Linked DNA regions of Tamandua tetradactyla. The protein of the gene in region 3 interacts with the protein of the main gene of each other region in a biochemical or structural test. Links are inferred from orthologs where the notes say so. Each region holds a gene or a part of one and is shown on either strand. Other genes may lie near its edges.

Evidence for each region.
Region 1: of the proteins of PRMT1 (region 3) and FBL, one has a biochemical effect on the other in vitro, tested with the Homo sapiens proteins (2 studies listed by BioGRID). The link is inferred for Tamandua tetradactyla from reciprocal best matches to the Homo sapiens genes PRMT1 and FBL.
Region 2: the proteins of PRMT1 (region 3) and HABP4 form a complex in vitro, tested with the Homo sapiens proteins (2 studies listed by BioGRID, with this or other methods). The link is inferred for Tamandua tetradactyla from reciprocal best matches to the Homo sapiens genes PRMT1 and HABP4.
Region 4: the proteins of PRMT1 (region 3) and BTG2 form a complex in vitro, tested with the Homo sapiens proteins (2 studies listed by BioGRID). The link is inferred for Tamandua tetradactyla from reciprocal best matches to the Homo sapiens genes PRMT1 and BTG2.

Annotation. Positions count from the first base shown.
Region 1 is NC_135342.1:24,172,082-24,179,455, forward strand, and holds the start of FBL (rRNA 2'-O-methyltransferase fibrillarin), read left to right. Parts: upstream 1-4,371; coding exon 4,372-4,498; intron 4,499-7,374.
Region 2 is NC_135328.1:123,551,305-123,558,506, reverse strand, and holds the start of HABP4 (intracellular hyaluronan-binding protein 4), read right to left. Parts: upstream 3,005-7,202; 5' UTR 2,888-3,004; coding exon 2,533-2,887; intron 1-2,532. UniProt on the Homo sapiens protein: Ribosome-binding protein that promotes ribosome hibernation, a process during which ribosomes are stabilized in an inactive state and preserved from proteasomal degradation.
Region 3 is NC_135342.1:11,469,585-11,477,060, forward strand, and holds the start of PRMT1 (protein arginine N-methyltransferase 1), read right to left. Parts: upstream 3,006-7,476; 5' UTR 2,991-3,005; coding exon 2,760-2,990; intron 2,451-2,759; coding exon 2,295-2,450; intron 2,145-2,294; coding exon 2,081-2,144; intron 324-2,080; coding exon 181-323; intron 1-180. UniProt on the Homo sapiens protein: Arginine methyltransferase that methylates (mono and asymmetric dimethylation) the guanidino nitrogens of arginyl residues present in proteins such as ESR1, histone H2, H3 and H4, FMR1, ILF3, HNRNPA1, HNRNPD, NFATC2IP, SUPT5H, TAF15, EWS, HABP4, SERBP1, RBM15, FOXO1, CHTOP, MAP3K5/ASK1, MICU1 and NPRL2.
Region 4 is NC_135330.1:60,644,333-60,651,199, reverse strand, and holds the start of BTG2 (protein BTG2), read right to left. Parts: upstream 3,016-6,867; 5' UTR 2,865-3,015; coding exon 2,711-2,864; intron 1,333-2,710; coding exon 998-1,332; 3' UTR 1-997. UniProt on the Homo sapiens protein: Anti-proliferative protein; the function is mediated by association with deadenylase subunits of the CCR4-NOT complex. Activates mRNA deadenylation in a CNOT6 and CNOT7-dependent manner. In vitro can inhibit deadenylase activity of CNOT7 and CNOT8.

The DNA.
Region 1 (7,374 bases), about 13 Mb from region 3:
ACGCGATATTATGTACATCCTGAAATAGGCAGTTGTGGTAGTTGGATTCAGGTGTCAGCTTGGCTAGGTGAAGGTGCCTAGTTCTATTGCTGTGGCCATGAGCCACATGTGAACCTCATCTGTTCCCGATTACATCTGCAATCAGCTAGGAGGCGTGCCTGCTGCAATGAATGATATTTGATTTAATCGGCTGGTGCTTAAATCAGAGAGCTCAACATAGCACAGCCCAAGCAGCTCAGCCCAGGCCTTTGGAGATGCAGAAAGCAAACACCCCGGGGAAAGTTGTTGGAACCCAGAGGCCTGGAGAGAAGGAGAGAAGAAGCAGAGATAGCCCTGTGCCTTCTCACATAAGAAAGAACCTCAGTTGAAATTTAGCTGCCTTTCCTCTGAAGAATTATACATTAACTACATAAATTCCCTTTTATTGAAAGCCAATTCGTCTCTGGTGTGTTGCATTCAGCAGCTAACAAACTACAACAGCAGTACATGGCATTACCCATGAAATATTCTTGCTTCTCCACTCCCCACGCCCACCCACCCTCCAAAAATAAATTGAACTTGACTAGAATCAAACCTTTGGTTTTGAGTTCTGGTCTGCAGGAAATACCAGGGGAAAAGGAACAGGTTAAATGAAAACATGAAGAAGCAATTGGCCACATCCAGACTGCAGAACATATGATAGGACAAATGATTCAGTTTATTCAACAGCTCAATGGCATTAAAAAAAAAATGAATTGGGGACAGTTTTGGAATAAAAGTGACTGAATGGCCAGGAGGGAGACTTTGGGGGTGCCAATTATGGGTGATGTTCTATTTGTTGACCTGTGGTGGGCAGGTGGGTTTCTTTTTGTGGTAACTCATAGAGCTGCATGCATTTTCCAGGCAGTTACATGCACTTTTCTCTGTGAATGCCATACAGAGAAAAAAAAATTTTTAATATATAAATTATAATTTCTGAAGATTCTTGACCAAAAAAATGTGCGTGAATTTGCATGTGTACGTGTGAGAGAGAAAAAACAACCAAATACAAGGAGGGGAACTTGTCTGGATCTTGATTTGAACAAATCAAAAATTTATTAAAATCACATTTTTTTAGACAATTGAGGAAATCTGAATATGAACTGTTTATTAGATTACATGAAGGCATTATTGTTAATTTAGTTAGGGGTGACAATGTAAGAAAGTGTCCTCTTTTTTAAAGAGATGCATACTTAAGTATATGGGGGTGGGTGACAACATATTGATGGTTGTTGAGGCTGGGTGATGAATACATGGGGTACTTTTTAAAAATATATTTTTATTGAGAAATATCCACACACGTACAGTCCAACCATATTATACAATCAGTGACTCACAGTGTCATCACATAGTTGTGTACTCTTCACTATGATCATTTTTAGACTATTTGCATCACTCCAGAGAAAGAAAAAAAAGAGCACATGCATCTCATACCCCTTACCCCTCCCTCTCATTGACCCACAGTGTGGTAGTTAGATTCAGTTGTCAACTTGGCCAGGTGAAGGCACCTAGTTCTGTCGCTGTGGACATGAGCTAATGGTACGTGAACGTCATCTGTTGCTGATTACATCTGCAGTCGGCTAGGAGGCATGCCTGCTGCAATGAATGATGTTTGACTAAATTGGCTGGTGCTTAAATGAGAGAGCACAACATAGCACAGCCTAAGCAGCTCAGCATTCCTCATCTCAGCCCTCACAGCTCAGCCCAGGCCTTTGGAGATGCAGAAAGAAGTCATCCTGGGGAAAGTTGTTGGAACCCAGAGACCTGGAGAGAAGGCCAGCAGAGACCATCCCGTGCCTTCCCACATAAGAAAGAACCTCAGTGGAAAGTTAGCTGCCTTTCCTCTGAAGAACTAACAAAATAAATTTATTAAAAGCCAATCCATTTCTGGTGTGTTGCATTCCGGCAGCTAGCAAACTAGAACACACAGTATTTCAGTCTACCCAATTTTTACCCTTTATCTCCCTGATTATTTATTTATTATCTTTATTTTTTTTTCACTCATCTGTCCATATCCTGGATAGGAGCATCAGACAAAAGTTTTCACAATCACAATCACATTGTAAAAGCAATATAACTATACAATCCTCTGGTATACAGTTCAACAGTTTCAGATACTTCTCTCTAGCCTCTCCAATATACCATAAACTAAAAAGAGATATCAATGTAATGTATAGGAATAACCTCCAGGATAACCTCTCGCCTCTATTTGAAATCTCTCAGTCACTGACACTTTATTTTCTCTCATTGCTCTCTTCCCCCTTTTGGTCAAGAAGTCTTTCTCAATCCAGTGATGCCAGGTCCTGGCTCAACCCAGGGAGATTTGCACCTCTGGAAGTTTCATGGGGGACTTCTAATTTTTGTTATAAATTTTTCTTTAAATCCATCAAGTCTCCAGGGTCCCAATTCAATAGCCTCTGAAGAGTTCTGCACACTGGTTCTAGTTTGGGTTTTCAAATTTGAAATGTGTCCCCAACACCAGCCCTTATGACCCTACCATGGCCTTTCTTTGCTTACTTCAATAAATATGTTTGAGCACCTACTATGTGCCAAGGTCTTGTTCTGGGCACTAGAGACATGGTGGGGAAGAAGACAGAAATGTCCTTTAGGAGCTGATATTGTACTCCAAATCATTAAGATGGTGATAAGGGCTGTGATGTGCTGGAGGGATCTTAGGCTAGGTGACCAGGAAAGCCTCTTTGAGGAGGTGACCATGGAGCTGAGTCCTGAATGGGAAAAAGAAACAAAAATCTGGGGAAAGAAGATTCTATGCAGACCAAACAGCAACTGCAAAGGCCCTGAGGTGGACCTGAATTGAAGCAAGGAGGCAGGTGTGGCCGGGGTGCAGGAAAGTAGTGGGAAAGGAGATGAATGCAATCCTGAATTAGAAGCATTTGAATTATTGTACCACTCCTAGAAATCCAGAATAGACTTAGCAATATTATCCTGTAGTTCTGAAAAGCTTAAAAAATTAAAAAATTTTCAGGAACATTTCCGTGCAAATTGGTGGCATTGCACAGCTGAAACACCCTCCTCCTGAGAACTCAAAACAACCTAAGTTCACTCATTCATTCAAAAGCATTTACTGAGCACCTACTCTGTGCCAGGACTGTTTCAGGCCCTGAGCGGCACAGCAGTGAATGAAACACTCATTACCCAGGAGCCTACAGGTTAGCGGGCTCTCCTGGAGGTTGTCAGTAACTTCTCAGAGTAGCATTTCCATTTTACTTGGTGGAATGGATACAAGGGATAAACATAAACAGCAGAAAATGACCGAACACCATTCTCAATACTTATGCAGAATCCTTGGCCCCCACTCCAAAGCCGTTCATCCTTGCTTCTACCTGGACCATTGCAGCCGGCCTGTCTCTACTCTTTCACTTCCATCCTACTTCCAGTCTGTTTCCCACTGCAACCGGAGCCCGCCCCCGTGTAAGATCATAACCTTCCTTTGCCTAGAGCCTTCTTGTGGCTCAGTCTCACTCAAGGTAAAAGCCAAAGTCTTCCCCGTGGCACACGAGGCCCCACACAATCTGCCCGTCACCTCCCTGCCCGCATCGCCTCCCACTCACCCTCTTGCTCACCCTGCTCAACACACTGGCCTCTTCATCGTTCCTCCAACATCCCATACCTTTCCTGCCTTCGCACCTGCAGTAGTCCCTGTTGGCATTCTTACCTCACATAGGTACAAGTCTCACTCCTCACCTTCTTCAGTTCTTTGCTAGTCACTAGATATATTCCTTAACCACCCTATTAAAAAAATGTCACCAACAGTCCCTATCCACTACTTATTTTCCGTTATTTTCTCCAAAGCACTCATTGCCTTCTAACATTCAACACGTCTTACTAACTTGTTTGGCATCGTCTCCCCTATTAGAAGATGGGCTTCGGGAGTGTGGAGCTTCTATGTTTTGTTCACTGCTGTACTCCCAGCGCCTAGCACAATACCTGGTATATACAAGAATCACAATAAATGTTTTTTGACTGTATGAGCGGGAGCCCAGAGTCGGTCCTATGCGTCTCAGCGAGAGGAAACAGGCCAAGGGAAGGCTTTGGGGATGGAGGGGGATTTTAGTAATTACCTAGGAGTAGAGCAGAGGGACAGAGAGAACAGTCCATGCCAAGGTTTGGGTATGAGCCCCGATTAGCGGGGACTAAGGCGACGAGGGAAGCACGTTTAGGATAGAGATCACAGAACGGTAAAAGACAAGAGGGCATGAAGCCCGAAAGGAGGCGGTGTCGTTAGAGTGCCGGGGAGCCCGCCCACTACGCGCGCGCGCGCGCGCGCGTCTCGGGGCTGGGCTGGGACTTCGAAGGGGCGGGGCTGGGGCTTCTAGGGGCGGGGCTGCGTGAATGCGTCATGCGCCGTGCGTCGCCGTGCGCCTGCGTTCCTTTTCCACGTGCGAAAGCCCCAAACGCGGGGAGTGGGAGCAGCTGCACACCCCAGACTCGAGCAGCTTAGGGCTCGCCATGAAGCCAGGTTCAGACCGGGATTGTGGTTGGGGTCCGGGACCGGGGCCAGGCCGGGTACCCGGGTGCCAGGCCGGAATCTGAGGGGCGGGGCTTTGGCCTGGGGGCAGGAATTCTGAGCCCTGGACTAGTCTGTTGAGGGTCGGGGGTCGTGGTTCGGGTCTTGCGTGAAGCGAGGGTATTGATTTCTCCCTAGGGTCGATTGTGAGGCGGAAGTCGAGTTTCTGGTCGGGAAATTTGGGACTGGCTTCGGAGGTCAAAGTTGTGAGTCGAGGGTCTTGGACCAGACATTGGGAATTCCTGCATGGAATTTGTTTTTGGTTTGAGATCTTTATGGGTCTTGGGTATTATTGGGCCAGAGGCGGTAGTCGAGGTCCTTAGCTAAAGTTTGGACCCAGGTACCTGGGGTTTTAAATGTCTGGACGTTGGTTTGCGGAATCTGTTTTGGATTGGGCATGAAGAGACCTTGATCTTCGGTCCTTTAGCTGGTCTGGGAGGTCCTCCATTTACCTCCTCTGTCTCCGCCGCCCTATCTTCTTGGTCCCCAAACCCAGTTTCTCAGAGAAGGCCGAGAGTGGGTGAGGATTCCCTGCTTGATAGTGTGCGGTTCTCTCTGGTCCAACTTTCCTGCTCTCTCCTGTTCTTGGGAGCCGGTCCCGGCAATGGAATGGAGATTATAGGTATCGCGATTCCCATTTTAGCGGTGAGATGGAGCTCGATAAGTCCAGGATTGGTGGGCCGGCGTAGGGTAGTGACAGCGCAGGAGTGGTTTCATTCATTTGCTTTTCCCAGAGATTCTGATGGACACACCCCTGCTTCTCGTGGTAGAAGAGAGTCCTGGCTTTGACAGCTGAAGGGATTCGCTCAAAGTTTCAATCCCGGCTCTGCTACTTAACCTACTGTGTGACCTCGGGCAAGTAGCTTTACTTCTCTGAGCCTCAATAAAATGGCACCCAGTCAAGATTAAGTGAGATTAGCATAGAGTTTGACATATTATTACTTGGTGTTGGCACCAATTGTTAGCATTTTCAAGGGAAACAAAATCAGGGTCTTTTTTTGGTTTCTCAGCTCTTCTTGTGCCCAAGTTGCCCCTCATCCCTTCACTGTTGAACCAGAAGGGGCTTTTCCTATTACAGTTTTTTCTGTTTTCTTCCCTTTTTGGGGGGCGAGAGGGGGTGTTGGAGAGAAGATGAAGTCATCTGGGAGGATTTGGATCCATGCCCTCCTTCCAAGCTCCCTTTCTCTTCTATGTTTGCAGATCTCCTGAACTGGGGTGGGGAGTGGTAGGTTGTGTATATTTAGGCCCTGGCATGCCTGCAGGCATCCTATAGTCTATGCTTCCCCCAGGAATGGAGGATGTGAAGTTGGAGAAGTTGTTAAGAGCCAGCACTTCAGTAAAGATTTTAGTCTGAGAGAGAGGGGAAAGTCTTTGGGAAATGTTGAGCATGATGCAGTGTGACTCTTTTTTATCCGACATTTTTGAAAGGGATCTTTCTTCTGTGTAGAAAAGAGACTTGGAGCAAAAGCAGAGGCAGGCACATTGGGGTGGGGGAAGAGCCAACAGATAGTTATGGCTTGTGAGAGAGGCATCAAGGATACTGACGGTTGAATTGTGTAACTGGAAGGATGAAGTTGCCATTTGTTAAGATTGGAAGATTGTGGTAAGAGAGCCAATTTTAAATCGGGGACCTATGTAGGAGATCCCCCTCCCCTAAAAAAACACGAAAACCTTCCAGAAATGAGTAAATATAAGTTTTTCTGAGGAGTGAATGCTTTTAGTACAGCTTCCTAAGAGCCCTAGGACCTGAAATGGACTAAGATGTGTTTGGAGTGTCTGGGACTAAAAGATAATACTGGTGTCACTGCATCCAGAACGTCCACAGTTCCCAGGTCTCTGCTTTCCTTCTTTCAGGCCTGGTTGAGAGTCTCATAGGCCTCTGAGTAATGGAGAGAGGGAACTCGTTCACCTGAATATGAATAATATTCAAATTGTGTGCCAGACTGTACTTCCTATCTATCAAGTCATGTAATCTTTACAGCTTGATGAGGTGGGCTCCATATTATCTCCATGTGTCTGATTTACAGATGAAGGTTTTAAGACTCCTGCAAACCTTCCCTGGCATGACCTCTGTCTCCCTGTATGGGACACCTGAGCTGCTTGAGGGGAGGGGCCAGGGCTCTCCTTACTACCCAGTCACCTGAGCAGGATCCTAGATCATCAGCAGTCATCAGTTCATTTAAGATTTATAGAGTCCAAACTTGGTGCCAGCAATTGTGCGAAGGTACTAGGGGTGCAGGAGTGTCCAAAACAATTCAAAGCCTCTCTCATTTTGGGAAGAGACAGGTAGTAGCAAGTAAATATATTTAAAATGCTGTGTGCATGCACTGATAGGGTAAAAAATGAAGCCGGGTAAATAAGGGTAGGGTGGTCAGGGAAGGCCCTACATTCAGGGACCTGAATGGAGTGAAGCAACCGAGCAGATGCCTGCAGGAGCCAGGCAGCAGCAGCCGCCGCTGATGGTACAAGCCTAGGAATTGGAGTGGACTTGACAGTCTGGACATAGAGGGAGGTCAGAGAAGTTGTTAGAGGCCAGATCCTTAGGGCAGTGTTCTCAATTTGGGCTCCACCCCAGACAAATTAAATCAGAATCGTAGCTGTGGGACCTGGGTGATTCCAAGGGATTAGCGATGGTTGGGAACCATTGGCTTTATAAATTGAAGAAAGGACTTTTGATTTCATTTTTTATGTGATGGGAAACGGCCTGGGGGATTTGGGCAGGGAAATGAGATCTGCTTTGCTGTTTTGAAAAGACCACTTGAGCTGCTGTATGGAAAGTAGACTGTAGAGGGAGTAGAAGATAAAAAGTAACTCGTTCCCTTAGTTAT
Region 2 (7,202 bases), on a different chromosome or scaffold from region 3:
AAAATATGTTAACAATGACAATTTTTGACATTTACCTGTTGTGAAAATATAAAAGTAGTTATTCTAATACATTTCCTGTCTACAACTTGTAGTTTTTAACATTTCTATTCAACTACAGAATTACAGAAGCTTATCCCACATTCTTTCTGCTTCCTCCAAGTCATTTTCTTCTTACTATATCAATTGGGACATCAGTATTCAACACTTAAAATGCAACATTTATTGTACATTTTATATTAAAGTTTCTTCCAAACTATGGAACAAACTGTGGACTTTTAAGTAAAAATTGGCTATTAAAATAATTTTATCATCAATACCCTGTAAACATTTCATTCTCCCTCCAGCACCCCCCCAAAAGAAAAATACTAGGGTTCAATTAATTTTTTCATAACTTAGTGTTAAGAGATCACAAATGGCACTGAACCTAGTCTGTTTGTTTTTTGCTAGATCAGCAGCTCCAAGTGGATAATGCAAGCTCTTCATTTCACTGACCCTTTCTAATAAAAAGCTGGCACTAATCTAAACCCAAGCCCAAGTGAAGGGACAAAATACAATAAAACTGAGTGAGGTTTTTACAAAATAAAAGTGAGCTTTGGCTCAAAGATCAGAGTTCTGAAAGGAAAAGCAAAGCTGAAGCTGCCTCTGTTGACCTGAAGTATGAACTTATTTTCCAAGGCTCACTCAAGGGTCTACGTATATTGTTAGACAGGTGGTCAAGGATATTAAAACCTAAGTCTTCATGGGAAAACTTTCATTTCTACATCCTCTTGGGATTAATGTTTCACTTTCATGTCGAAAAAAAAGTTCTACGTGTGCTAGGTTATAATGTCAAGTAAAGAAGCAGGTTCCTGCCCAATTTAAACTAAGTGAAAAAAAAAGTTCTGTGAACTCACATATATAGATGCAAGCTGTTAATAGTAGGGAAAATAAACGATTTTCACTTTACTTCATACATTTCTGAATTGCTCAAAATTTTTATAACAAAATATATGACTAATATTTTTTTAAAAAGTAAAATGAAATATATTAACAGATACCGTTAAATGCAGTTTCATACTATTTTAAAGGAAAGAATGAGTATTTTCACATGTTAGAAACGGGGAGAGGAAAAAATTAGCCTTCCTCAAATCTTTAGTTTATAACTCTGATTGCTATCTATCCTCACTTACATTTAAGAGAGAAATATAGAACATAACACAAAACGTAAAATATATCTCAAGTCTCACTCACTGTTTAAATAGGCTCATGAACTTACCGGCCTAACAAGAAGTCCTGAGATACCCAAGAGCAATTTTGGGAATTTTCAACATCTTTATTGTAATGACCCGATTTTCTGATTCTCAAGTGACACTTCAGGACTCAACTTTCCAGATAAAGTTAAATCATCACCTAGTTCCTAAAGTTAATGCTCTATACTTACACCTACAGGCATTCTCTCAATAATCTAACGCACAATTTCTATCAAGAAAGGAACAAATCAGTAAACCGAGTTGAACACACTATACATCCTAACGTTAACTATTTTTGCTGCAAACCTCAGGACCATTGCCTTATTTCAGAAAAACAAAGGAAACGCAGGTGGTTTTCTTAAGGCACTGCTGTCACTTCGGTGAGGGAGATGAATTCTGAAGTACACTCCCTGTATGCAGACAGTAGCTCTCCAAGCTCTTCCCCAGCCCTTCTTGCTAAACAGGGCGTAGGGAGGCTCCAGCATTATTGTTCACATTAAAGACGGTATCCTGAGAGTAGCCCAGAGTTAATGACGAGTTACACATCCCATCAACATACGTGATGTACTTAAAACTGATGCTTGCTGACTTCTGGAAGCTACCGAGTGGGGTTGTGCGAGGGCTGAGCGTGGAAGAAGCCGGGGATCCCGCGTCCAGCACCGCGGCCCTGACGTCACAGGGCGGCCCCCCGCGGGCACCTCGGCCTTCCCTCCATCACAGAGGCCTGGAGGCCCCTCGCCTCGGCCTCCCTGCGACTCCTCTTGCCCCCCTTTCCCCCACCTTCTCCTAGAGGGGCGCCCCTTCCTCCCCCTCAAGCTTCTCTTTTTGCCTCCAGAACTGAACCTTGCGGAGGTCGTGCTGGAGAAGGAAGATGGTCTCTGCTAGCTCTCGAGTTGACAGCTCCGGGACAGGAGCCCCCAGTTTTCGCCCCACACACATTACCCCAGCAATATTTGTCAACTTTGTGCAACTCGTCCTAAAGCCTCAGTTTCGGGGCTTCGAGACACCCCCTCCCCCACCTGCAAGCCTCCACCCCTTCCCTATCAATAAAACGGGGTGGGAAAGGCCTGAAGGGGCGGGACACCACCACCCACTTGGGTCTTCTTTTCCTATCCACAACCACAGGGACTCTCAAATTCGACCCAGCTCTTCCCAGGGCTCCCTCCCTTTTCTGGGTCGTGGTTCCAGTGACCCAATCTCACAGTGGGGGTCCAGGGGCGGCTGGGGCAGGATGACCTCCGTGACCCCAGCTCCTTCCCTTCCCGCCCCCCACGCCTACCGGGGGCACCCAGGGACCGCGTACCGGGCGGCTGCGGGCCGCCCCCGGGGCTGTCCGTCTGCTGCGCGCCGGGGGCCGGGAGGCTCTTGCGCTCCTTCTGGGACTCCCTCCGGACGCCGCCCGCGCCGGGTCTGTGGCCCGAGGCCCCGGCGGGGCTCCTGCCGCCGCGGTTGCCAGCCCCGGCCGCCGCCGCCTCGTCGCGCCGCTTGCGCTGCAGCTGCTGCTGGCGCCGGCGCTCGGCCTCGCGCAGGATGTCGAACGGGTCCGACTCGTCGTCCAGCAGCTGGTGGAAGCGGTTGGCCACGACGCAGCCGAAACTCTCCTGCATCGTGGCGCCGGCGGCGGCCGCGGCCACGGGGCTCCCCAGAGCGCCCTTCATGCCTCCGCGGCCACTGCGGGCCCGCCGCGGGCAGCCCACGCGAACTAGTCTCAGCGAAGCCGGCGGCGAGGACCCATCCCGCCCGCCGCCACAGCCACCCTCCCTAACCCGCCCGCTTCCCTGCCCGCCGGACGCCCGCCCCCGCGCCGCAGCCCCTGCAACCTGCCCAACCACCGCCCGACAGCCAATCAGATCACTCGGACACGCCCCCTTGCCTCGCCGGCGAGCCTGGAAGCCCAATCGCCGGCCGGCCGCTGTCACGTCATGCGCACTCTCTGCCCCTCCCCCTCCGATTCCGCGGAGGGTTGGGGCCCTGGCTAAGGGGCGGAGCTACTGGGAGGAGAAAGGGAGGTGGGCAGTCCAGGGGCGGGGAGGTGCGAATAGCCCCTTGCAGGTGTTCTCTGGGACACTGGTTCTACATTCGTTATCGACCACTCTGAGGTTTATATTCATTTAGCCACTCAGCAACTATTTATTGAGCACTTACTGTGTGCCAGGCTTGATGTTGTAGGAGATACTAGCTCCGTGTCTTCTGCAGACTGAGAAAAAGTTGCTCTGAAGGAAAATCACAGTGTTCTCCACGGGCAAAAGAACCTGACCTGATTATGAAGTCTGGAAAGGCATACCTTAGGAAGTGAGTGAAAAAGAGAGAGAGAGAGAGAGAAGAAAGAAAAAATGGTGGTGCTACTCCTAAAGGAATAGAGCCTTGAAAGAGGCCAGTTTAGTGAGAATCATTTAGTTCAATCTTGAACATTTTGAGGTTTGATATAGTCAGTTGCTGGAGTTCAGAGGAAAGCCCTGGCCTGGACTCCCTTCAGGAAATCATGCCTGGACACCTATGGCAGACACTCTTGGCTGCCTGTTTTATAGCCATTCCTGTCCCTCTTCCATATTTCCAGCACTTGTATTTTGTTTGGGCATCATTAAGTTGAGCTCCTTTCCAGCCTCAAGCATGATTAATCGTAAATCATGCGTTATAGTACCACCCCCTTGCCAGTAATTGGTGCAGGAATAGGCTAATACGAAATATGAAGTCCCGAATTGCATCACTGGCCTGTCTTGAGTCACGTGCACAACTTTGACCCAGTTGCTATACTGAGGGGCATATAATTAATTCTCTGATCAGCCAGTCCTGGGTCACACCCAAGCTTAGAGTCTGAGTGAAGTCAGCTCTCCTGAACCACAGGTAGTGAGGGTGCAGGTAAGGTGATTTCCCCAAGGAAAAGAAGGTTTCTAGTTCCGAAAGGGAAGGGTTGATGCTACACAGGTTAACAAATTATTCCATGTAGGTGATGATTAGCCTGAACAACATTATTGGTACATCTCATAGCATTTGACTGTTTTTGCCCTGAATTATAATTATTTCTCCTTACTTCTCCTCCCTAAGGCCAGAAATCTTAGCTAATTCATTCTATATCCTTTCCCTCCCTTCTTTCTGTCCTCATTCTCAGTGCCTGGAAAGGTACCTTTCATTCAGGGAATAATTGTATGAATGAATGAATTTCATATTTGTATACATATGCTTTTTTTTAATTTTTTATTTTTATTTTTTTATTAACGGAAAGAAAAAAAAAAGAAATTAACACAACATTTAGAAATCATACCGTTCTACATATGCACTCAGTAATTCTTAACATCATCACATAGATGCATGATCATTGTTTCTTAGTACATTTGCATCGGTTTAGAGGAACTAGCAACACAACAGAAAAAGATATAAAATGTTAATATAAAGAAAAGAAATAAAAGTAGTAATAATAGTAAAAAACAACAACAAACAAACAAACAAGCAAACAAAAACAAAAAAAAACCCTATAGCTCAGATGCAGCTTCATTCAGTGTTTTAACATGATTACTTTACAATTAGGTATTATTGTGCTGTCCATTTTTGAGTTTTTGTATCTAGTCCTGTTGCACAGTCTGTATCCCTTCAGCTTCAATTACCCATTGTCTTACCCTGTTTCTAACTCCTGCTGAACTCTGTTACCAATGACATATTTCAAGTTTATTCTCGAATGTCCGTTCACATCAGTGGGACCATACAGTATTTGTCCTTTAGTTTTTGGCTGACATATGCTTTTTTTAAAAAAACATACAAGATTAAAAATATGTTCATAAAGTATACAGTTAGCAATTCAGAGAAATGTCCTAGCATTGGCAGGCTCTTCCCAGGAACAACAGGACTTAACTGTTTGGCTTTTTTTTTTTTTTTCCTGGTTCTCATGTATTCAGTTTAAATGGCAAAGAAAATTTTCTATACTGGCGCGCATGAGACTTTTCCTCCTAAAATTCAGAATTTTTCTGAGCAATTTCCTTTCACTGTTTGTAAGTCCTGTACCTCTAGCATAAAGACACATCTTACTCTTACTGGTATACATATGCTCTTGACAGATAATTTTTATGTGTTAAAATTAAATTCCATATTCTATTAATATGGCTGTTATTTTAAAAACAGAAAATAGAAGTGTCAGCAAAAATGTGGAAAAACAGGAAGCTTTGTACTTTGCAGTGAGGATGTAAAATGGTACAGCTGCTGTGGAAAACAGTGGCTCAGATACCACCGCCACTCACCTTCCACTGGGAAGTCCTTTAGTCACATGCCCTTTGACAAACTCTCAGTGTTAACAGTTCATGGCCCTCCAGTCACAAGATTAAGGAAAATGAGTTGGGAAAGGCTACATACAGTAAGGAGAGAATTTTTGATGAGAACTTTGATGAATGATTAAGCCATCCCAAGGAAAACTACATATATGGAAAGAGTCACAGGTATGAGATCAGAAAAGTCAGGTTAATTAGAGTGCACTTTGTGTGTAGAATTGCAAAAACTGGGGCTATACAGATTGTATTAGTTAGGGTTCTCTAGAGAAACAGAATCAACAGGGAACACTTGCAAATATAAAATTTATGAAAGTGTCTCACGTGACCGTAGGAATGCAGAGTCCAAAATCCACAGGGCAGGCTGCGAAGCCGATGACTCCGATGGATGGCCTGGATGAACTCCACAGGAGAGGCTCACCAGCCAAAGCAGGAATGGAATCTGTCTCCTCTGAGTCCTCCTTAAAAGGCTTCCCATGATTGTATTTACATCACTAATTGCAGAAGACACTCCCCTTTGGTTGATTACAAATGGAATCAGCTGTGGATGTAGCTGACGTGATCATGACCTAATCCTATGAAATGTCCTCATTGCAACAGACAGGCCAGCGCTTGCCCAATCAGATGAACAGGTACCACAACTTGGCCAAGTTGACACCTGTCCCTAACCATGACACAGATAGATAGGAGTTTGTCCTTTAATGACCTACTATGCCTCCTGTGCTGTTTTAAAACTGTCTTGTACCCCTGAAAAGTCAAGTTCTTTAACCCTCATTCGGTATTGTGGAGTGGGATCTTTTTACTGTTTCCATGGAGATGTGACCCACCCAATTGTGGGTAGTAACTTTTGATTAGACGGTGTCATGGTCAGGTTCATGTGTCAACTTGGCCAAGTGGTGGTACCGGTTTGTCTGGTTGGGCAAGTGCTGGCCTGTCTGTTACAATGAGGACATTTCAGTGAATTAAATTATGATCACATCAGCTGCATCCACAGCTGATTCCATTTGTAATCAGCCAAGGAGAGTGTCTTCTGCAATGAGTGACGCTTAATCTAATCACTGGAAGACTTTTAAGGAGGATTCAGAAGAGACAGGCTCTCTTACTGCTTTGGAGTTAGTCTAGACCTCCATCAGAATCATTGGCTTCACATCCTGCCCTGCGGATTTTGGACTCTGCATTCTGATGGTCACATGAGACACTTGTATAAATTTTATGTTTCTGAGTGTTCCCTGTTGATTCTGTTTCTCTAGAGAACCCTAACTAATACAACTTGGTACCAGGAGTGGGGTCGAGTCCAGGGGCTCCCACTCCCTTCCACCTGCTGGTGACTGTGGACAGGAACCTGAGTCTGCCTGGCAGAACCAGCAAGTGACCACTAGTTGGGACTCCTTGGCCTGCCATCTGGGCCCCCCTGGCCCCCCTCGACCTCCATCAGTTCCTCCCCCCTCCTCAGCTGCCATGGACAACCTGGCCTCCTGGCTCACCCTTGAGCTGCACAGGCCCCCAGCCCACTCTGACAGCAGCTCCTCTGGGTCTGCGCCTGCTGCTGCATCTTGGGACTGGTGGGGCTCATGTGCTCTCAAGGTGACGGAGGTGACAGAGGCTGTGGAGGTGGGGCTCAGCCACAGAGGGCGGCTGACCCTAGCAGGCAAAGTTGGGGCTCAGCCTGGAGGCTGACCCAGAACCCCTGGAGCCCCATGAGCTGGCAGGTGGCATGGAG
Region 3 (7,476 bases):
CATCCCCCAAGCCCTTCACCTCCTGGGGAGGCCTGCTCGGCCCTGGGCCCCAAAACTGCCACCTCCCAGTCCCTCCGCGTCCCTCAGGCCTGCTGCTTTCCTCCAGCATTAACGCCCTCCTGCCAATGTCATTCAGTTCTGTCCACTGTCCGCTGCCCGCCATAGCCGCAGGGCCCTCACCAGCCACTTGTCGCGGGCATAGAGCACAGTGTTGAGCATGGACTCGTAGAAGAGGCAGTAGCCCATCCACTCGCTGATGACGATGTCCACCTTCTCCACCGGCAGCTCCACCTCCTCCACTTTGCCTTTGATGATGGTCACCACTGCAGGAGGGGGCGGCCATCAGCCCCCCGAGGCCCCTCCCTAGGTACCATGGGGGCGGGACTGGGGCACTGTCCAAGAACCCTTTGCTCTGAAGCCAGAGCTTGCTAACTGTGCCTTGAGATTCACCCATCACTCTGGTCCCTCTGAGTCCTACACGTTGTTGAAGCAGTTGCAGAAATTTCCCACAGACCGGCCAGCAGACAGTAAGGTTATATTATTATGGGATATGTTATGGGAAACATGTAACAAACGAGTCACGGTGTGGTTATGCTTCTCAAAAGGCCCGATCTACTAGAGACATACACAGGATTTACAGGTGAGCCGAGGTCACAGCTGGGATTTATTTCAGCATGAAGCTGAGAGATGGGGTCCTACACTCGTCTCTTTAGAAAAAAAGAAAACCACTCCGGTTCTTAGAATGCTGCAAGCCCTCACACTCAGCAAACCTACTGCTTTCCAATGTTTCCTGCATGCTCAGCCTTGCCACTGGGAATGCAAGTGGAATGGCCACCAAAAGCAATTTGGCAACATCTACCAACTTACTAATTCACATTTTAAAATAAATGTGGAATGACAAGATGTTCAGGGGACAGAAATTTCAGAAGTGGCTCACACGCCCATGAACAGGGTTAAAAAAGGTGAGGTGTGTGCAGAACGGCAGTCACAAAACAAAAGGACACTTCTCAGCATCCGCAAGCTTGTTAAAACTAGACATGAACAGGTGCAAAAAAAAAAAAGACAGGAAACAGTTTGGCAATTCCAAAAAACATTAGACCAAGAAATCTCCTATGACACAACAATGCCGCTCCTATGTATATACCCCTAAAGAAGTGACTGCCGGGATTCGGGCACATATTTGCACACCACTGTTCATTGCAGCATTATCCATAGTAGCCAAAAGGTGGAGGCAACCCAAGTTCCATCAACAGATGGACAAATGGGGAGCTTTCCATCCATACAACTGAATATTATTCAGCTATAAAAAGGAATGAAGTACAGATACATGTGAGATGGGCTGCGGAGGCAGTCCAGACACAAAAGGACCAACACCTTGATTCCATATATATGAAATCTCTAAAGCCATCGAATTCATAGAGACAGAAAGCAAATCAGAGGTTACCAGGGTCCAGGGGAGAAGTGAAAGGGGAGTGACTGCTTAATGGGCAGAGGGTTGTTTGGGGTGATGGGAAAGTTCTGGAAATATATAGTGGTGATGGCTGCCCAATGCTGTGACTACGCCCAATGCCGCTGAATGGTACACTTAAAAAGAAAATTAAATTGTCATTTTTCATGACATATATTTTACTACAATAAACGAAGTGATAAAGAGTAAAAGCTGAATGAGATGAGATCTGTGTGAAAACTATGTTCATTTGCCCACAAACATTTACATATATATTTCCTTGTGGGTTCAGATTTTGCTGGAAGGTAATAGATAAACTCAGAGAAGGGTAGCTGAGGGACAGACGGGAGACGCCTCACTCAGCACGACTCTCAGACTTAGTCAGGAGATGAGAGACTGCTCCTTGCCCTAACACTAAGACTGAAGCGCTAATGAGCTCGCCACTCAAAGCCGGCACCACACTCCCGCTGCCAGCGGTCACGGGTTCTCAGCCCGATGCCAGCCCAGAAGGCCCCAGGGAAGGGACGGCTGCCCATGTGCCCCATCAGTGGCCCCCACCCCCTGGCTGAGGCCCTAGGGAATCTGAGAGTCACCCACTGCGTCCCCACCAGTCCGCTTTCCTCCTGGGCTCACCGTGGTCTAACTTGTTGGCTTTGACAATCTTCACGGCATAGTCAGAGATGCTGGAACACTCGATCTGGGGTCCAGGAAGAAGGGAGGGTGAGGCCCCCCCATCCCCCACCTCCCACCCCCCCTCGGCCCCCCCAGGCCCTCCCGTCCCCCAGGCCCCCCCTCGTCCCCTGCCCCAACAGGCCCCCCCCAACCCCCTGCCCGCCCTCCGACTCACCCCGATAACCTTGCGGGCCCCGGCCTTGGCAGCGAACATGCAGAGGATCCCCGTGCCTGAGCCCACGTCCAGCACCACCTTGTCCTTGAACAGGTGCCGGTTGTGGAACATGGAGTTACGGTAGGTGAGGGTGCGCACCTCGTCCTTCAGCATTTCCTGGGGGAGGCGGGGCACAAAGACGCCATGAGGGGACCCGTGTGCAAAACGGGGTGGCCTGGCCTCCAACACGCTGACGGTTTGGAGAGCCCAACCGTAGCCCTCCCACGTGTTAGTCCCCGTGGAATAAGACCTTTCTGTCCATTTCAGTCACTGTTCGTAAAACCAGGTGTAATGGATCAAACTCTCATTTTAGCTGAATTTGACCACCTAAGCCTCAGCCATCTTTGGCTTTAAAATGACTTCAGTTAATGTAAAAAAAAAAAAAAAGAGTCCCCCCACCAAACTAGCCCAGCTGTGCTCTGGGACCTCCACATCCTCAATCTGCAAACGGGAATGAGCAGCTGGAGTTGCAGTCCCACCAGTAGTCACGAGAGGGCGGCAGAGACCAGCAGGCCCAGAACTGGGCTGAAGTCTTGGGCACGCATGCGCGCTTCCACGCTTCCACCCTAGTTTCCCTAACGCGGCCCCACTCCGGGCTAACTTCGGTGTCCAAGGCAACCGCCAGGAGAGGCCCCCAGTTCCCGCGAGGCCTCGCATGCGCAGACCAGCGGCACGGGGACAGGGAAGACTGCACGCATGCGTGGGAAAGGAAGCCTCGCCCCTCCCGGGCATTGACCCGCGTGGGATTCACCCTCCTTAGAAGCTGTCCACGCTCACCTCGTGGATGCCGAAGTGCGCGTAGGAGTCGAAGTAGTAATCTTTGGATGTCATGTCCTCAGCGTTGGGTTTCTCACTGCTTTCTGCTTGGCCGCAGGAGACCTGGGAGGAGGTGGATGGGAGCATGGGTCAAATCTGGGGGCTCCCACGGCCTCTTCGACTTCCAGGTTCCTATTTCTCCCTAGGGTAGAGAGCTCCCCTCCCCTCACACCAGTCTTACCAGGGCGACCCTAGAGCCCCCGCCTGCCATCCTGCCTCCCCCAGGAACCCCAAACCCTAGCACCCCCATTTTTCTCTTCCAAGACCCCCCCCAGCACCATCCAGGATACCTCAGCCACGCCTACCATCTCTCCGTCTCTCTGCCCCCGTCTCTAGCTCAGCCCACAGCTGGGGAGGGGAGGGGAAGGCAGAAGTGGGGCAGACACAGGGGAGGGCCAAGGGGGGCTGGAAGTGGAGTTAAGGAAGTAGCCACAATATGGGAGGAGGCCAGCCGGGGGCCACCAACCTGGAGGGAAGTGTACTAAGGGTTTGGAGGGCACAGGGTAACCTGGTTTGAAGCCAAAGGGATCATGGTTAGAAGCACGGGAAAAGGTCTAATGTGTGGCAGGATGTATTTATATGGAGGTGGGAAGGGGGTCTCACAAAAGGATATTTACTTCTTCAAGAGGCGGCTGGAGGCTCATCCCATTAGCCAAGGTGGCTACAAAATTCTAGGAGAGAGTAACAGGGAGAAAGGATTAGCTAATGGGAGTGGTAGGGGGAGGGCCAGGCCAGGGGTGGGGACTGGGCACCAGGGCTCCGGGTGGAGTGGGGGTTCTTGCTATTTTCCTTTTCCTTGGTGGGGAGAGGTGGCAGAAGTAACAAGTTAAGAGGGAGGGCTGTTTAAGAAATGGGAGGGGGAGGTAGGGGGAAAGCAAAGGGGTTCTCCTGTCCCAGCTGTGGCTGGAGAGATGGCAGCCCATCCCTTCACTGCCCCTCACTAGTCAGACATCTGCCTACACACCTCCCCCATCCATGCCAAAGGACCTGGCACCGCCGGGCACACAGGCACTGCCAGCTGTCACTCCCCGCATCTAATCCCCCAGATTAGGTGACACCTTCTGACACACACCCCCACCCCAAGGTACCAGGAATAGCTGCGGGGGGGGGGGGGATGCTGGCAGGGTGTGCCCACTGGGCAACAGCCCCCTCTGCAAAACAATCTCTCATCTGAGAGGATTCCAGAAAGGAGGTGTGGCACATGGGCACTTGTGACAGAGCCAAACAAAACCAGTTGGAAGGAACCCTCCCCCCTTTTTAGCCTCTCCCCAAGCAGGTAGTGTCCCAGGGGACAGGGCCAGATTCAGGGGACTCCAGGCTAGGGCCCGGGGCGTCTGAGCCCTTCTCTCCGGTTCAGACACCCATCTCAGTTCTGAACCCCCCACCCCCCAGGTAAAGCAAGCTCTGGGGGAGATATGCCTCCCCTCCTCCTTGGCTACCTCCTGGGTCTGGGTTGTATGGGGAAAAGAAATGAGTGGCCCCCGGGGCGCTGCTTGCCATGGACATGCATCTCGGGCCCTGATCCCACACTCCAGGGATGGCTATATGCAGTGAGAGGTGGGGGTATGGGAGCACCATCAGACAACATCTCTTCCACATGTGACCACCCTGCAGGCTCCAGGAAAGACACAGCCACAGGCCATAATACCTTGGGCCCCGAATCTTAAGCCCTCTCTGAAACCTGTGAGAAGGGCAGCTGGAGTGGGGATTTCCTGTTGGGGCCCATTTCCCGAAACCACTGATCCCACCACCACCAGACAGCCCCAGCAGGCTGGAAACACGGCCATGGCACCACACGTTCACACAAGAATCAAGTATCCATGGAAATCACTTCCTGAATCCAGGCTGGAGACATACACACGGGGGCTTAGGAGAAGAGGCAGGTCGTCTCCCACCTCACAGATGCCCCAAGGAGCGAAAGGGCACCAGTGGAGGGCAAACGCTCGGAGCCTATATCCTCAAAAGACCCCCTTCTCAACAGACACACTCCCCCCGACCCCCACCTAGCCCGGGCAAGCACTAAGGGGGAGGTGGACTTGGAGACACGCCCCATGAAAAAGAGATCCCGCCCACAACCAGAAATGGCCACAAGGGGGTGCAAGGGGCCTTATCGGGAATGATCTCCTCCATCGAGACGCACCCCCACCCACGGGGAGGTCACAGGGGCATGCCCCATCCCCCCCCAGTTCATAAAGCCCCAGGCGGGGTAGAGTCCAGGCACAGGAAGCGAATGCGGTGGGGGACCAACTCTTCGTTTTCCTCCAACCGCAAGCAAGAGGACTCAAAACCTGAAACGACGCCCCAGCAGATGCCCCCGGACCTGGGGGAGGGGGGAAAGTGAAGGGTCGGGTAGCACGGCCCCACCCAAGAGATCCCCTACATCGCGGAAGGCCCTAAGGTAGGTTCTGTTTGGGTCCCGGGATCCGGCGAGGGGGTGCTGGGGGCCCCAAGGCAGGGTCGGAGCCTCCTCTCCACCCCCCCGGAGCGCCCCTCCCCCGGCCGGGGGCGGGGCCTTTGTCCCGCACGTGGAACCCGCGGGGCCACCGGGCACGGCACACCCCCTCCCCATCCACGGCCACGTGGGGGCCCGGCCGGAAGCGCCCCCAGCCCTCATCCACGTGGGATGGGGGGGTGAAACCCTCGACTCGGCGGTGCCGCAGGTCCCGGAAAGCTCTGGAGCCCCCCCCCCCCATCAGGCGGTGCCCTCGGATCCCGGGCATGCGCCCCCCTCCCGTCCCGCTGAGCGCCTCCAGCTCCAACCCGCCGACTCGGAGTCCCTTCCCCACGACCGAGGCATAAGGCACCGACCCCCAGGCTTCCCTCGGCCCCGGCGGCGCGCCAGACGCTCACCTCCATGATGCAGTTCGCGGCCTCGGCTGCCGCCATCTTCGCCCGCACCTACTCCTCCTCCGGCCGCCGAGACCCCCCCCTTTCTCCGCGCTCCCCCGGGATCGCCTTATACCGGAGGGGCCACGGCCCGCCCACAGCAACTCGGTCAGGAGATCTCATTGGCAGTGGAGGCGGCCGATCCGGGAATGCCGTTTGGCAATTGGGTGGAATAGACGCCTATCAAGGCTGAAGGGCCCTCCCAAGTTGGCGTGCAAGGCCCCGCCCCCTCAAGTCGTCCGGGATGGGGAAGACTGTCCGTCCATCCCAAGAAGAGCGAGCGGTGATTGGGCAGAGTCAACCAGGAGTTCCCGCCCAGTTCCTCCCCCTCCCATTAAGTGCCGTCTCAAAGCTTCCCGGCAGGCCCTGCGCTAAGCGGACATCTTAAAAGAGATCTGTCCGTCACCAAGACTGCCCGCAACTTGATCGCTGCCATTGGTTTGGACGAAAGGTGACGTCACGAGGCTTTAAGCCGCCTCTTGTGGGCTGGAGAGACCTCAAGGAGAGCAAGGCGATTGGCCCCCGACGGAGGAGGGTAGAATTGTGAGCTCCGGTGATCGGCTTAAAGGAACTGTCACTCGTCTTGTCTTCGGAGGATTTTCCCACCCCAGGAGAAATCAGGAGGACTGAGGGAGCCGCTGCCCGTTTGCCTAAGGGAAACACTGAAGCAGTGGGAAGCTCAGAGAGAGGGTAGAGTTGTCTGGGGTCCCCTAACAAGTTAAGAGTAGGGCTCAGACGCCAAAGCATTTAACCCCTAGGCCTTTATTTAAGTGTTCCAATTTTTAACCGCCTCAACCCCCCATCAAGGTTCTTGGCCTTTGCCCAAGCCCTGCCTTCAGGCGGGAACACCGCCTCCCTTTGGCAGAATCCTAGACGTCACCTCCTCCAAGAAGCCTTCCTGGACGTGCAAGAAAAATTACTCGTTTAAGATAGGTAAAAAGGACTGAATTCGTGAACCCCGTCTCTCCTGGCTTCTATCCCCCTACCTTCTTCAATCCTAACTTCTCTCCAATCCCTTAACGTGCAGGATGTAATATCTCCGGGCCTCTGCAAAGAATAGACGTCCTGGCATGCACTCCCCCTTAGCGAACTCCTCCCCGCTGAGATTTCCACCATTTCCTGGTTAGTAACAGTCCGTCTCCACGACACTCTTGAGCTGTGTCACCCCCTACAGCCGCCCTTCTTCCGGGGTCCCCGAAGAGGGACTTCCCACCCACCCCCACTTTGGGAGGAGTGCCCCCAGCGCCCCCACTGTGCTGCGCTATTGTGCAGAGCCTTCTTCCCTTGCTTGCGGGACTGACTTTTCCTCACCTTTCTTTGCAACTGTCACTGTATAACTATGGCCAAGTACAGCTCAGGCTTACCAGAGCGTTTAGGAGGCACCAGCAATCGTGCCCCCAGCAGCCCACTGGGCCAGGAGCTATTATGGGCTTCATTTTGC
Region 4 (6,867 bases), on a different chromosome or scaffold from region 3:
GAGGGGCTAGAGAGGGGAAGGAGTGTTGTGCTTTTGAAAAGAAGGCAGTGATAAAGGACCTAGAGTTCCCTGTAGCTTTTGATTCACCTATCAATGGGATAATAGCAGCAGCATCAGAACTTATGTATGGTTCCAGAAAGGGTTTTGGCCAAAAAACATCTCCAGTGGATACTCTTTGGGTCCCAAAATGGCATTGCAAAATCACCCCCAAATTATTGGCCACACATACACACAGAGCAGCACATAGCAAAGCAAAGGTTTTGTGCAGAGTTCCCTTCCATCTCACCCCCAAAAGACCTCTAAGCCCAGCCTTACACCCCAAACCAATACAAAAGGTTTTAGACTGAAGTCTGGGGAGCAATATTTACAAGCCCCTGAAGGTAGACTAAGAAACAAGTCATGGTTTCAAGAAAAGCTGCTTAGAACAGAAGAAATAAGGAGAGGCCTTTTCACTCTCTGCTCAGGATCTCATCAGAAAAAGAGGAGATAATAGGCAACATAGTATTATTTAAGTCCAAGCTTGAATGCCCCTGAGTTAAGAGTGGGGTCAGGGATGCAGGTGTCCAAGTTGGGAGAGTGAGAGGTTTGAACTGAGTCTCCCTTCCTGCACCAGGGCACATCCTGACCACTCTCATTCACAGTTGCTAACCTTGTTGCTCCCTCTCACATCTTTCTGGGGTGCTGGCCAAGCTTCTCACCTCACCTTGGCCAGGCCTGCTCCAACCACTCCCCCTCCCACAGGCAGACACTGGCTCCCAGACTCAAGTGCACAACAGTTCTCTCCAAAGGCACCTGGGGAAGCCCCTTCGAAGAAGCTCCCTTTAAGGATTTTTTTCTTAAAAAAAACTTTTGGTTTTTTCTCTTTTCTTAAAAAAAAATAATATATATATAAATAGATCTTCATTTAAAAATACAGTTCCCCAGGTTGAGGTATGCAGCGGCCTGTTGTCACGGCAGAATGAGCACAGGAGAGTGCCAGGCTGGGGGCAGGAGGGATCTAACTAGAGATTGCCATCACGTAGTTCTTCGAGGGGCTGCTCCTGCCCAGCATCATTTGGTTCTTGCAGGTGAGGAGCCCGTAAGAGGTGGCCACTGGGGCCTCCTCATACAGGACACAGATGGAACCATCCTCCCCAATGCGGTAGGACACCTCATAGGGGTCCACCCACAGGGTCAGCTCACTGGGGAGCAGCTGGTGCAGCTGGGGCTGGCTGAGTCCGATCCGGCTGGCCACCTTGCTGATGATGGGGTCCATCTTGTGGTTGATGCGGATGCAGCGATAGCCAGAGCCCTTGGATGGCTTTTCAGGAAACCAGTGGTGTCTGTAGTGCTCTGCAGAGAGGGGACAAGAGGGAGATTCTCTGGTTAGAGCAAATGGGCATGGGCCATGGGCGCTACTATAAGGTGGGGGTCAAGACAGGGGGCCAGGAGGAGAGAAAGGGACCCAGTGAGGTTAAATAAACAAAGTAGTTTCTCCAGAGCTCCAGGACCCTCCTGAAATCCTCCTGCCACTCTAACAGAGAAAACTTTTTAAGAGCTGTAGAGCTCTCTCTTTTGGGACAGTTGTGTGTGTGTGTGTGTGTGTGTGTGTGTGTGTGTGTGTGTGTGTGTGTGTGTGTGTGTGTGTGTGTGCATGCCTGTGTATACTGGAGGATGGGGCGGGGGAAGGGGGACAGTGCAAGAGCTCTGGGTCTCTCTGTAGTGGCCAGTATGTTGTTTTTGGCACATCCTCGGTTTAAGGAGAGAGGGGTGTGACAGGGTCTGGCATGTGGGGCTGGATCTAGGACACAGAGGCTTTCAACAATGTCAGGGTCCACAGCCACGTCACGGGTTTCCCATTGCGTGCCCCAGAATCAGAGAACCTTAGCAGTCACTAAGGGAATGAAAAAATGAGTTGTTTCACAAAACATTCTGTTGTTCCTCAGAAGAGAGGATATGTGTGAGCGTGTTCAGAGATGGTTACTGCGGTTGGGGACAGCCAGCCAACACAGCCAAACGGCTAGAATCGGCTGGGAGAGAGTCCTCTCCCACCCAGAGGGCTGCTTATCTCTTTTCAACCTCCCTCAACTCACCCACTCCAACACATGCCCGTGGAGCGTGGTTACGAAGAGTTACTAACTATGAGGCTCACTCGGGTACCATAATAGGAGGCAGATGGCTAAGGGGAACCAGAAGGAACTCAAGGGGCCCAGATTCCTACTTCAAGCGAGTCAACAGCAGCGAGACTGGCCCGGCACAGCGCAGTGCCGTACCCGCGGGAAGAGCCAGGGAAGGATCTCTAAGTTGTTGAAATGGCTCAACTGCGACTTCTTCTCCCAAACGGAACGCCTCGGGCGGCCGCGCTTTGTTACCCTCAGCGTCCCTCAAGTGTCTCAAGGTCTCAAAGGTCCCAGGAAAGCGACGAATCCGCACCGTGACCCGCTGGAACCCGCTCTTCGGAGGACATAAGCTGGGGACTCGGTCTCGCACCCCAGGACGGCGGAGAAGGCGCTCAACCAGAACCACCACCAACTGAGACCAGAGCGCAGGGCGGGGGAGGAGAGCTGTGCCCCTGGGGGCGGTGGGCTGCTGGCTGCCCCGGGGGCCGCAAGACGGAAACCGAGTCCCGGAGCTGCCCGCGCGGGCAACTTGGCCCTGAGAGAGGAAAGGCGCCCCGGGCAGGGACGGGGGCCGAGCCCTGGAGGCAGCGGGATCCTCGGCGTGCGCTCACCTGTTAGTGCCTCCTGGAGAGCCCCGCTGAACACCTTAAGTCTCTGCTCGCTCACGCAGCCTCGGGTCCGCAGGAGGCTGGAGAGGAAGCCCACGGCGGCGGCGATCTCCGGCAGCATATCGGTTCTCTTCCCGGTCCAGCGAGCCTGGCTCATATCGTGCGCGGCTCGGGAAGGACACGGCGTGGGGCAGTGAGAGGTCTCTGGATGGGACGCGCCGCTAGGCGGAAGAATTCGGACGTACGGGCGCAGTACCCTGTGTTCGCCTAGCCGCAGCTCGGACTCTGCCTGGGCTTCCCGCGAGCCGCGCCTTTCATACTGTTCGCGGAGGTGGGGGAGCCTGCGGCGGTGCTCATTGGCCGCCGCAAGCGGATGGGGGCTAGGTCGGACGCCTCGCCCCGCCCCGCGCACAGCCGCTAGCCCCCGCCCCCGCCGCCACCCCTGCTGCCACCCCCGCGGCCTCCTCGGCGGTGAGGTCATCGTCGGCTGACGTCAGTGCTGGGAACCCGAGCTGAGCTTGGGAGCAGAGGGAGGCTGGTGCAGAAAGAAGGGGCCGGAGCTGAAAGTTCACCTCGGAGGTAAAGGGCTCCCAATTTGCTCCACGCTGGGGATGTCCTGACCTCTCCTGTCCACCGTTCCAAAATCCGACTATCCTTCAAGGCTCAGGTTAGACGCCGCTTCCTCCGAGAAGCCTTCGCTGGTACCACCTGTCCCAAGCGGTTCCCTTTTATGATTCCCATAGCGTTTTCCAACCACGCACCGTCAGCACCACTCTTCTGGACGCTTTGTCACCATTTCACCACTTTGCCCTTTCTTAGCTATCCGAGGGGGTTCCTCTCGGCTCTTCGAAAATGAGGATTGAACTTTCTGTTTATTTCCACAACAGCCCCACTTCCTCCAACAAGTTCTGCTTTTTCTCTCAACCAATTTTTTTTTTTTCTATTGCGTAGAAGCATCTCAGGCTCACCTGTCTGGCGGGTGGAAGTGCAGGGAGTGTTACAAGATTTTCTTTGTCCCTTCAAGCTATTTTTCTAGTTCCCTCCTTCCGTTAAATGGCAACATTTTTAAATAAGTGGTCTGCACTCAGCTGCACACATCTTTACCTCCCATCCTTGCCCTTCTCCCTGCAGCTGATCTTCCTTCCTCATAGTGAATCGAGGGTCTAGCATACATAAATGCCCCGTACATGTTTGTTAAATAAATCAAATCCTATGGCCTCTGTGAATTTGGAGTTTCCTTGTTCTCTGGGCAGGCATGTCTGGCCCTGTTGACCACTTTCTTCTGATAGCCGTCTCACCCTGTTTCTTTGACACTATATCCTGGGTTCTCTGCCTCTTCCCCTGGCTTTGCCTTCCTGGGATGCCTACTCAACCCTGTGCCCATCGCTAAACCCTTAGTCCTTTTCTCTCAGTTTTCTTTCCTCAAATAGATCTAATTCAGGTTGTCCATTTTTATTTTTATGATTTACAGTTGACTTTCAAATCTGGATACTGTGCCCTCTATCCTTTCAACCTGTTCCTCCCACACCTGCTTTGTTCCTCCCCTTGGAAGTCCTGCCACCATCTCAATGTCAGCCAAACTCCGTGTCTTCTCCAAAGTGAGCTCCCTTCCTGGTCTCCATTTCTATCAGAGACACCATCATTTCCCAAGACCTCCAGCCAGAAAACTCAGACTGACTTCTGGCTTCTCCTTGTGCTTTGCTCCTCAGATCCAGTCCCATGAACTGTTGCTTCTTCATTACTAGATGTTTGCCATGGTCTCTGTCCAATCCTATTCCCAAACCACTCTTTCTACTATTAATAGATATCCCTTCCTAAAGTACAGCTCATGTGTCCCACCTCTTCTTATAACTCATCAAAATGCCCTGGAATTGTAATATTTTGGAATTAAACACATTTTCTAGTTGGCTTCTTTGTCAACTTTTCCTTGAAGCTGGATCAAACCAGATGAGACTCCTGTGCTTAATGAGGGGAAAAAGATATGTTACAGGAACCAGGGTTGAGACTAGAAACAAGATAGGCTAGAGGTGCATCAGACCAAAGAGACAAGGTGTCAGCAAGACCAGAGTTGACCAAGGTCAACCACTAAAGAAGTCAGGGAAACTGGTCAAGGTATAGGCAGGTGTACCGTGTCACTTAGTACCTAAATCTGAAAACACTGACTGTCTACCTGGGCTTACTTAGACAGGGGTCTGGTGTTCTGGGCCCTACAATGCCTGCAAGCAAAATTGATGAAAAAAAATATTCTGACAGATCATCACCTGGGCTTTGCCTTAGAGAATATGACTCTGTCCTTATGTGCATTTTGATATTGTTCATGAAACCACGCAGCTAGTTCTCAACAGTCAGAAATGGGACCGAGTCTGCGGACTTGGACTACAATGTCCTTACCATCAGACCGTGGAGCCCCGGTGCTGTTATTCCCATGGCCCGTGGTCCCACAGAGCTGTTATTCCAGATGATGTTGCAATGAATGGAGGTGGGGGGTGGGGGGAGGGAAACATCCTGCATTTGCTGGGACAGGAGCAGGAAGCCCTTATGGCACTCCAGGGTCTGCCTAGCCTTATCATTGGTGATTAGGTAGAACCTATTATGGGGCATAGGTAATCCATAAAAACCAGAGGGCTGCTTCCCCACTTTCTCATCCTCTTTTCTTTCTACATATAAGCCTAAGGAGAGGAAGCTAAATTTACCCATATTTAAAGTTCCCAAATAATGAGTTGTACCCAGCTCAGGATTTGGGTTCTCAAGTCAGTTTCTTATTACACTGAATATATCATAGTTCAAATAAGTTTTGAAAATTCCTCAAACTACTCCTATGCTTCCCCTCTTTCCTCCTCCTCCACCATCTTCTCCTTCTTCTATTACTTCTCCTCCTCTCCTCCTTCTCTCTCTGGCCAAGGCCCTTGAATTGAATTTTGAACATTAGATGCTCTGACACTGTGTCTGCACCCACTAAAAAATGGATGTGGTACCAGTGGGGGTGAGGGTGGAACTCAGTTTATGCCTTACTTGGACCAGAAGTTTCTTTTAAGGCACATGACCCCAGACTCACTGGCTCCTCTGGTCCTGGTTGCCCATCTCATCCACTTGCATGGGCCACACAGGTGGGCTGCCCATACAGCTGCCCTTCTCAGACCAGATCCTCCCTAGATCTGGGTCCCTCGCCCAAACCTCTGCTCTGGCCGTCTGTGGGCTCATCATACAGGCCTTGCCCTCCACTTCCCAGTCAAGAGCATCCAGATCGTTTGCATCCAGATCATTTTACCTGACTGTTTTCTTTCCCAGCTCCCTGATGGGTGCCTGCAAAGCCTTGGTTGCCAAGGTTACCTCTGAGTTTCTGACCACACGTAGAAACCTGAAGCTGAGTGAAGATGATCTGCAGGCAGAGGCTGGGCTGAGTTATTCCAGGAGGATGACATCAGCTCACTCCTACACTGTGAGATGTGTATTTTATTAATTTTTTAATTTTTTTAAAAAATAAAACAAACACAAACATTCTTAACATATGATCATTCCGTTCTACATATATAATCAGTAATTCTCAATATCATCACATATTTGCATATTCATCATCATGATCATTTCTTAGAACATTTGTATCAATTCAGAAAAAGAAATAAAAAGAAAAGAGAAAGAAATTCATACATACCATACCCCTTACCCCTCCCTTTCACTAGCATTTCAAGCTACTAAATTTATTTTAGCATTTGTTCCCCAATATGTTTTACTCATCTGTTGATAAGGTAGATAAAAGGAGCATCAGACACAAGGTTTTCACAATCACACAGTCACATTGTAAAAGTTATATCATTATACAATCATCTTCAAGAAATATGGCTACTGGAACACAGCTCTACATTTTCAGGCAGTTCCCTCCAGCCTCTCCATTACATCCTGACTAACAAGGTGATGAGATGTGTTTTTTTTAAAGGAGTGTGTGTGTGTGTGTGTGTGTGTGTGTGTGTGTGTGTGAGAGAGAGCAGGTAGGGAGGGCAGTGTATGTGAGTGCATCTAAGTGCTGAAATGTGTATGTATGCTTGGAAATTTGTAGATAGGAGAAAATAAGGATATATGTTTGCAGATATTAATATAGCAGTATATACTGGGGAATGTTTTGTGGAGTGTGGATGTTTGGTTGGGGTGTACATTTTGGCAGT